2 linked regions of the Cricetulus griseus genome follow. The protein of the gene in region 1 binds, or shares a complex with, the protein of each later gene. Links are inferred from orthologs where the notes say so. Each region holds a gene or a part of one and is shown on either strand. Other genes may lie near its edges.

The links. The genes of interacting proteins can lie anywhere in the genome.
Region 2: Exosc2 (region 1) and Exosc5 share a complex: the UniProt entries of both Homo sapiens proteins name them as parts of the RNA exosome core complex. The link is inferred for Cricetulus griseus from reciprocal best matches to the Homo sapiens genes EXOSC2 and EXOSC5.

Annotation. Positions count from the first base shown.
Region 1 is NC_048599.1:143,396,339-143,399,838, forward strand, and holds part of Exosc2 (exosome complex component RRP4), read left to right. Parts: intron 1-1,921; coding exon 1,922-1,967; intron 1,968-2,084; coding exon 2,085-2,174; intron 2,175-3,197; coding exon 3,198-3,263; intron 3,264-3,500. UniProt on the Homo sapiens protein: Non-catalytic component of the RNA exosome complex which has 3'->5' exoribonuclease activity and participates in a multitude of cellular RNA processing and degradation events.
Region 2 is NC_048602.1:9,460,904-9,465,057, reverse strand, and holds the start of Exosc5 (exosome complex component RRP46), read left to right. Parts: upstream 1-1,354; 5' UTR 1,355-1,402; coding exon 1,403-1,550; intron 1,551-4,067; coding exon 4,068-4,154. Other genes in the region: Bckdha (2-oxoisovalerate dehydrogenase subunit alpha, mitochondrial), read right to left, coding at 764-850. UniProt on the Homo sapiens protein: Non-catalytic component of the RNA exosome complex which has 3'->5' exoribonuclease activity and participates in a multitude of cellular RNA processing and degradation events.

The DNA.
Region 1 (3,500 bases):
TGTGTGTGTGTGTGTGTGTGTGTGTGTGTGTGTGTGTGTGTGTGTGTGTGTGTGTGTGTGTGTGTGTGTGTGTGTGTGTGTGTGTGTGTGTGTGTGTGTGTGTGTGTGTGTGTGTGTGTGTGTGTGTGTGTGTGTGTGTGTGTGTGTGTGTGTGTGTGTGTGTGTGTGTGTGTGTGTGTGTGTGTGTGTGTGTGTGTGTGTGTGTGTGTGTGTGTGTGTGTGTGTGTGTGTGTGTGTGTGTGTGTGTGTGTGTGTGTGTGTGTGTGTGTGTGTGTGTGTGTGTGTGTGTGTGTGTGTGTGTGTGTGTGTGTGTGTGTGTGTGTGTGTGTGTGTGTGTGTGTGTGTGTGTGTGTGTGTGTGTGTGTGTGTGTGTGTGTGTGTGTGTGTGTGTGTGTGTGTGTGTGTGTGTGTGTGTGTGTGTGTGTGTGTGTGTGTGTGTGTGTGTGTGTGTGTGTGTGTGTGTGTGTGTGTGTGTGTGTGTGTGTGTGTGTGTGTGTGTGTGTGTGTGTGTGTGTGTGTGTGTGTGTGTGTGTGTGTGTGTGTGTGTGTGTGTGTGTGTGTGTGTGTGTGTGTGTGTGTGTGTGTGTGTGTGTGTGTGTGTGTGTGTGTGTGTGTGTGTGTGTGTGTGTGTGTGTGTGTGTGTGTGTGTGTGTGTGTGTGTGTGTGTGTGTGTGTGTGTGTGTGTGTGTGTGTGTGTGTGTGGTGTGTGTGTGTGTGTGTGTGTGTGTGTGTGTGTGTGTGTGTGTGTGTGTGTGTGTGTGTGTGTGTGTGTGTGTGTTGTGTGTGTGTGTGTGTGTGTGTGTGTGTGTGTGTGTGTGTGTGTGTGTGTGTGTGTGTGTGTGTGTGTGTGTGTGTGTGTGTGTGTGTGTGTGTGTGTGTGTGTGTGTGTGTGTGTGTGTGTGTGTGTGTGTGTGTGGTGTGTGTGTGTGTGTGTGTGTGTGTGTGTGTGTGTGTGTGTGTGTGTGTGTGTGTGTGTGTGTGTGTGTGTGTGTGTGTGTGTGTGTGTGTGTGTGTGTGTGTGTGTGTGTGTGTGTGTGTGTGTGTGTGTGTGTGTGTGTGTGTGTGTGTGTGTGTGTGTGTGTGTGTGTGTGTGTGTGTGTGTGTGTGCAAGCACTTACTGACCTGGCATCAATGGGAGAGTGGTTTGCTGTGGAGAAGGGGAAGCCGATGCCGGCAGTCTTTGTTTTGGGTTAGTTACTTTTAGAAGTGTTCACGAGCCATTTGTGTGGCTACTGATACTGGATAGCTTCATGACGCTCTCTCCCAAGAGCCGGGAGTATGGACGAGCCCCTGCCTCTCACCACTAAAACTCGGTGAGCTCACTGTGAGGGAGCTTGAGTAGAAAGAGACCTATTCTAATGCCTGGGCTTTTAGCAAAGAGCACTTCATCCTCAGAATCAGGGTGAGGGACCAGCAAAGTGCCTGAGCCAGGCAGGCATCGAGGAGAGGGCAGCTCGAGCCCCCATGGATGGTAGTGTGTTTCAGTGTCTCCTTCCCTCCATTGCGTGGTGATAAACTTGTCCCACCCCTATTCAGAAGCAAGTACTTTGTGTTTTTGTCACATAATCAAGCAAAGTTAGGACTGCAGTCTAAAGGAATGATTTGCAATGAGTAATTTCTTTTTTTCTTTTTTCTTTTGGTTTTTTCGAGACAAGGTTTCTCTGTGTAGCTTTGGAGCCTATCCTGGCACTCGCTCTGGAGACCAGGCTGCCCTTGAACTCACAGAGATCCGCCTGCCTCTGCCTCCCAAGTGTTGGGATTAAAGGTGTGAGCCACCAATGCCCGGCAGCAGTTTCTTTAAGGAAAACGAATGAAGTATATACACAGGGATTCTGAAGTCCCATCTGTTTACTCAGCCTCAAATAGTGCTTGGTCTGGTCAGCCTGCTGGCTACTGGGTAACCTTCTGCTTTCTCTTGCAGATACAATGGAGAAGTAGGAGACATTGTAGTGGGGAGAATCACGGAGGTAAAGTTGCTGTTTTACAAAGTGAAGGAGGCTGGTGGCTCAGGGATGGGACCTTCATTCTGTGAAATGCTGTATGAAGAAGGTGCCCTGAGATGCTGCCTTACTCTTTCCTTACAGGTTCAACAGAAGAGGTGGAAAGTAGAGACAAATTCCAGGCTGGATTCTGTCTTGCTCCTCTCATCCATGAACCTGCCCGGAGGGGAGCTGGTGAGTGCTTGTCTGCCCTAGAACTGTCCAGTTGAGCTGTGGGGCTTTTGTTCCACCATAGAACTCGGTTTACACTGTTAATGTTTTGTCATGGGGTCTGCTAGCTTGGTGAACATAGGCTTTTTCTCCTGGCTCTGGTCACCTGACATAGGCAGCAACTAGTGTTTGGTAAGACCAGAAACACATGTGGAGTGGGCTCCCAAGATGGAGCTGGGGAGAGGGGCTCCTGAATCTTGGTGCTAATTTCCTTTCTTGGTGGGTTGGCATTCTTGTGGGTTACACAGGGAAGGTGTCTGTGAAATGTTGGCCTTTGCTTTCTTTTCTTTTCTTGAGGGTGGGCAGGAGGTTGGTGTTCAGACGGGGTTTCTCTGTGTAACCCTGGCTGTCCTGGAACTCACTCTGTAGACCAGGCTGGCCTTTAACTCACAGAGATCTGCCTGCCTCTGCCTGTCAAGTGCTGGGATTAAAGTCATGTGCCACTAAGCCCCACTTATCCTTAGTTTTCAGTGACTTGAATGCACATGGTTATTCTAGACAGTGAGCTGGATCCTATGGAGAGTGTCAGAATAAATAAGGCACATCTGAGTCCCTTAAAGAACTTATAGATTGGTGGAGGATAGGAGATAGCTGAACCACATGGGGAGGCAGGAAAAGAAAGAAACATGGAGAGCAGAGAGGGGTTGTTTCATAGGAGGGCCCTTGGGGGTCTGAGAGTTGGAGTGAGGTTGGGACTCAGATGAAGGGAGATACGTGAGCAGACACACAGCCTGGTGGAAGTGAGGGTAAGTGGGGAAACAGGCTCAGTGACCTGTAGAGGGTCTGGATGTTAGCCTAGGAGGGTCCCTCTTGGAGAGCTAGTATCACCTCCCTTGTTCTCCAGCAGTTGAGGTTACCTCTTGTCATAGTTCTTTATGTTAAAATACCATGGTGGGCTACACAGACCTCAAGCAAAAAGCAGGGATGGAAAGAGCTCCTCCTGAAAGTGAGGCTTGTGTCATGTGGTCATTTTTCCGTGTGTTTCAGAGGAGAAGATCTGCAGAGGATGAGCTGGCCATGAGAGGCTTCTTACAGGAAGGAGACCTCATCAGTGTATCCTGACTTACAGGGCTGCCAGCTGACCAGAGGGGTCTGAATTCTGGGTCATATGTCCAGGGCTTGGCTGAAGCTTTGCTCTTTCTCCTTAGCTCAGAACAGTACTCTGGGTTTTGTAACTTGTGACCCATGGTGCAAGCTAGACACAATTGTCTTTCTTTTTAAGGATAGCCCAGGCTGGCTTGGAACTCACTGTGTACCAGGCTAACCTCAAACACAGCACTGCTGTCTCAG
Region 2 (4,154 bases), on another chromosome or scaffold:
TCCTGCCTTAAAAAATAACATTGACAGGGGCTGGAGAGAGACCGACTGCTCTTCCAGAGGTCCTGAGTTCAGTTCCCAGCAACCACATGGTGGCTCATAGCCATCTATTATGAGATCTGATGCCCTCTTCTGGTGTGCAGAGATACATGGAAGCAGAATATTGTATACATAATAAATAAATAAAATCTTTTAAAAAAAATATGGGCTGGAGAGAGATGGCTCAGAGGTGAAGAGCACCGACTGCTCTTCCAGAGGCCCGAGTTCAGTTCCCAGCAACCACATGGTGGCTCACAGCCATCCGTAATGAGATCTGGTGCCCTCTTCTGGCAACAGGCATATGTGGAGGCAGAATGCTGTATATATAATAAATAAAATCTACAAAAAAAGGAATAATTTTTAAAAAACAACGTTGACAAAGGGTCCTGTGTGGATTTCTCCCTTCATGACATCAACCAACATACCCCGATGGCCTGTGACAGTGATCGCGCCCGGGCCCCCGCCTTCGCTTCTGATCGGGGACCGCAGGGGTCCAATCAGCTTCTTGCTCACCCAGCTTCACAAGTGGAGTTTTAAGTAACGGAATAAAGAAACGTGGGGCTGATCCTGGCCCACCCCACCCCCGGTTTTCTCCCTCTTCCCCTGACTCTTCTCTCCAAGGAGCGTCCGCGTCCTTTTCTTTCCTTCACGACCCGCACACACCGTAAGAGCAACCTCTGCGTCCGCAGCCACCTCGGGAGGGACCCCGTGGGGCCCAGGTACTTACGGATCTAGCCAAGCCCCGCGCCCCAGGCCGCCGCAGCGACAGGAGAGCAGCCAGGCCCCGGCTCTGTCTCCACATCGCCGCCGCCATCTCGCTCGATAGCCACGCCTCCTCTCTCCCCAGCTGGACCCGGGGCTGCCCCACCAGATGCCGTCCTCAAATGCCGGCACGGTCGGGCCAACAAGCGACTTCACTCCCACCGCCGTGAGTCCAAGACACGAACCTAAGTGCGCGTGCCGATTCTGATTATCCTCCGCCGTGGCTCTAGCCTTCCGCTTATAGCGGCTCCGATATCAGGCAGGAAAGGGACACCCTGACCACAGGCTCACGGGTTGAGGGCCGGGGGGCCTTGGGCGAGGTGGGCCTATTCCAAGACCCGCCCCCTCTCCTTTCTGGCCCAATGGCTTTGCGAGAATCGGGAGGCGGAGGCGGGGCGGGACCAGATTGTTAGTAAACGCTCAGCCACGTGCCAGGGACGAGTCAGGCGCCGCCCAGGCTGGCGCATGCGCAGCGGCCACGCAGCCGCTGCGAGCCGGGCCCGCGAGCCGGCGAGCCCGCGAGCGAGCGAGCGAGCCAGCGCGCGCGTGCGCACCACGGGGGCGGAAGCTACGGCCGCAGGCGGGGCGCGCGTGCTCGGCGGCGATGGAGATCGCGAAGCGTGCGGACGCCGAGCTGGGCGCTGGCACCGCCGCGGAGCCCGGCCCGCGGAGTCCCGGCTGCAGCCTCCGGCATTTCGCCTGCGAACAGAACCTGCTGTCCCGGCCGGATGGATCTGCTTCTTTCCTGCAAGGTAAAAAGAGCCTGATCCCCAGCCCCACTGTGGGGGGCTTGGGTTTCTTGGTTTTTGGGATTTTGGGGGGGACAGGGTTTCTCTGTGTAGCTTTGGAGCCTATCCTGGCACTCGCTCTGGAGACCAGGCTGGCCTCGAACTCACAGAGATCCGCCTGCCTCTGCCTCCCGAGTGCTGGGATTAAAGGCGAGCGCCACCAACGCCTGGTGGGGTTTGTTTTCTTTTCTTTTTTTTTTTTTTTTTTTGGAAGAGCGGTTACCGTGTAGTGTGCAACCGAGTGCGCCCATCTCTTTGAAAAGAAACGAAAAAACTATTTCTAGATACGTAGGAGGGGTCCACACCTCTTCCCCGACTCGAAAAAACAACCAAAAAAATATTTGATACGTCCAGCCTGGAAGGAATCAGGGGCAAGAGCACGCCCTAGGAAGAGTGGATATTCCAGAACAGGTGTAATTTCACCAAGGCGAATAGGCCCCTTGACTAGATTTCCTTCCACACACTTCTCCTGGATCGGTACACCTCCGGTTGAGGCTAAGGTGTTCGTTTGCATGCATTCCCTTTGAGAAGGACTTGTCATCGCCGCTGGGTCAAGTGCGGTGACAGCAGCAGATGACTTGGTCCACGCGAATGCCCTTCACATTGAACGTGATGATCCCCATTCTGGACCCACAGGTATCTCCCCTTCTCCCATCCCATCATTTGAGTAAATGTGTCTGTTGCTTGGTGTATTCATCTCATCAGTGTAAGTGATTGTAGAGAGAAAAGAGGCGTCTCACGACTGACACCCACACAACCCTGCCTCCACCCAATGCCGGTCAGCCAGCTTTGAGAGGTCGTGGGAGTGTGAGGAGCTATCAAAAGTAGACAGATTGGGCCGGGCGTTGGTGCCGCACACCTTTAAATACCAGCACTTGGGAGGCAGAGGCAGAGGCAGGCGGATCTCTGTGAGTTCTAGGCCAGCCTGGTCTCCAGAGCGAGTTCCAGGACAGCCTCCAAAGCTACACAGAGAAACCCTGTCTCGAAAAACCAAAAAAAAAAAAAAAAGATGCCCCAGCAGACTACCCTACAGGCCAGTCTGATGGAGGCAGTTCCTCAGTTGAGATTCCCACCTTTCAGATCTGTCTAACTTGTGCTGAGTTGACAAAACTAGCCAGCGTAGTATCTTCACTTAAAAACAGGATTCATAAAAATGGGGTACGTTCCCCAGGGAGGTAGAGGCAAGGCCAGGTTCACTCAGCTACATAGCAGGTTCAAGGCCAGCTTAGACTGTCTAGGGCCTGATCCCAGAAAATCCAACAGTGAAAACCTACAGAGCCCATGAGCCTGTCACCTGCCTTTGTTGGCTAGCCATCTTGTTTTTTTGTTTTGTTTTTCCCTTTGGACTTTGCACATGCTAGCATCCCTAACCCCTTGGGTTTTGTTGTTTTGTTTTTGTTTGTTTGTTTGTTTTATGGCTCTCCCTGGTGCCTGAGGAGGTCGGAAGAGTATGTTGGGTCCCCTGGAACTGTGGTTACAAACCTTTGTGAATCGTCTTCTACAAGAGCGACAAGTGCTCTTAATTGCTGAGCCATCTCTCCAGCCCACCTGTGATTCACTTATACACATGCATTTACCAGTTTGGAGTTGTGGTATAGAGTGTATTGGTCATTGGGCATTACGGTCAAAATCATGTGGAAACCACTGTTTGAGTGCAGTGTCTTCACTTTGTAGATGGCTTCTCTGTAGCCCACAGAGGTTATCAAAATCACACAAGGGCCTGGAATAGGCAATCAGGGCTAGAAGCCAGGCTTTTTTTCCTCCAGACCCATTTATGCCATTCTGGGAAAATGAGCAGAGATTAAGATCCCTACCCAACGCAACTACAGACCCTTTTTTGTTTGTTTTTTGTAAGGCCTTTTAAAATATTTTTAATAGTATATATTAATTATATGTAACAATGGATTTCTTTTTGGTTGGTTTATGAGATAGTCTTGTGTAGTTCAGGGTGGCCTCGAACTCAGTATGGAGCCAAGGATGACCTTGAATTCCTGACCCTCCCGTCTCTGCCTCCCAGACACTGGGAGGATATACGTGTGTGTGCCTGTGTGTACGGGTGCCCAAGAAGGGCAGAAGAGGGTGTCCATACCTTGGAGCTGAGTTACAAGGTGATTATGAGCAGCCTGCGGGTGCCGGGAACTGCATTCTAGGCTTCTGGAAGAGCAGTGTGGGTGCCGACCTGCTGAGCTATCTCTCCAGCCCCAACTGCTTCTAAAAACTCACCAGTAGCTGAAGTCTGGGCTGGGCTCTGGACTCACTGGCCAGCATCCTGTGTTTCAAGTATCTGTATCTTTTTAAAATGGGTATTTATTTGATCTTGTTGTGTGACACTGAGAGACTGGGCTTACTGCTTCTGTGAGCCACTGTCATGTGATCTTGACAAAAGTGCCTCGAGGGAAGGACTGCAGTAGTCTCCAGTTACAGATGAGAAGGCAGAGAAGAGAGTTGGTGTGGCAGAGGCCTCTGCTGATGTCTCCCCAGGTGACACCTCTGTCCTGGCTGGAGTGTACGGGCCAGCCGAGGTGAAGGTCAGCAAAGAAATCTTCAACAAGGCCACACTCGAAGTGA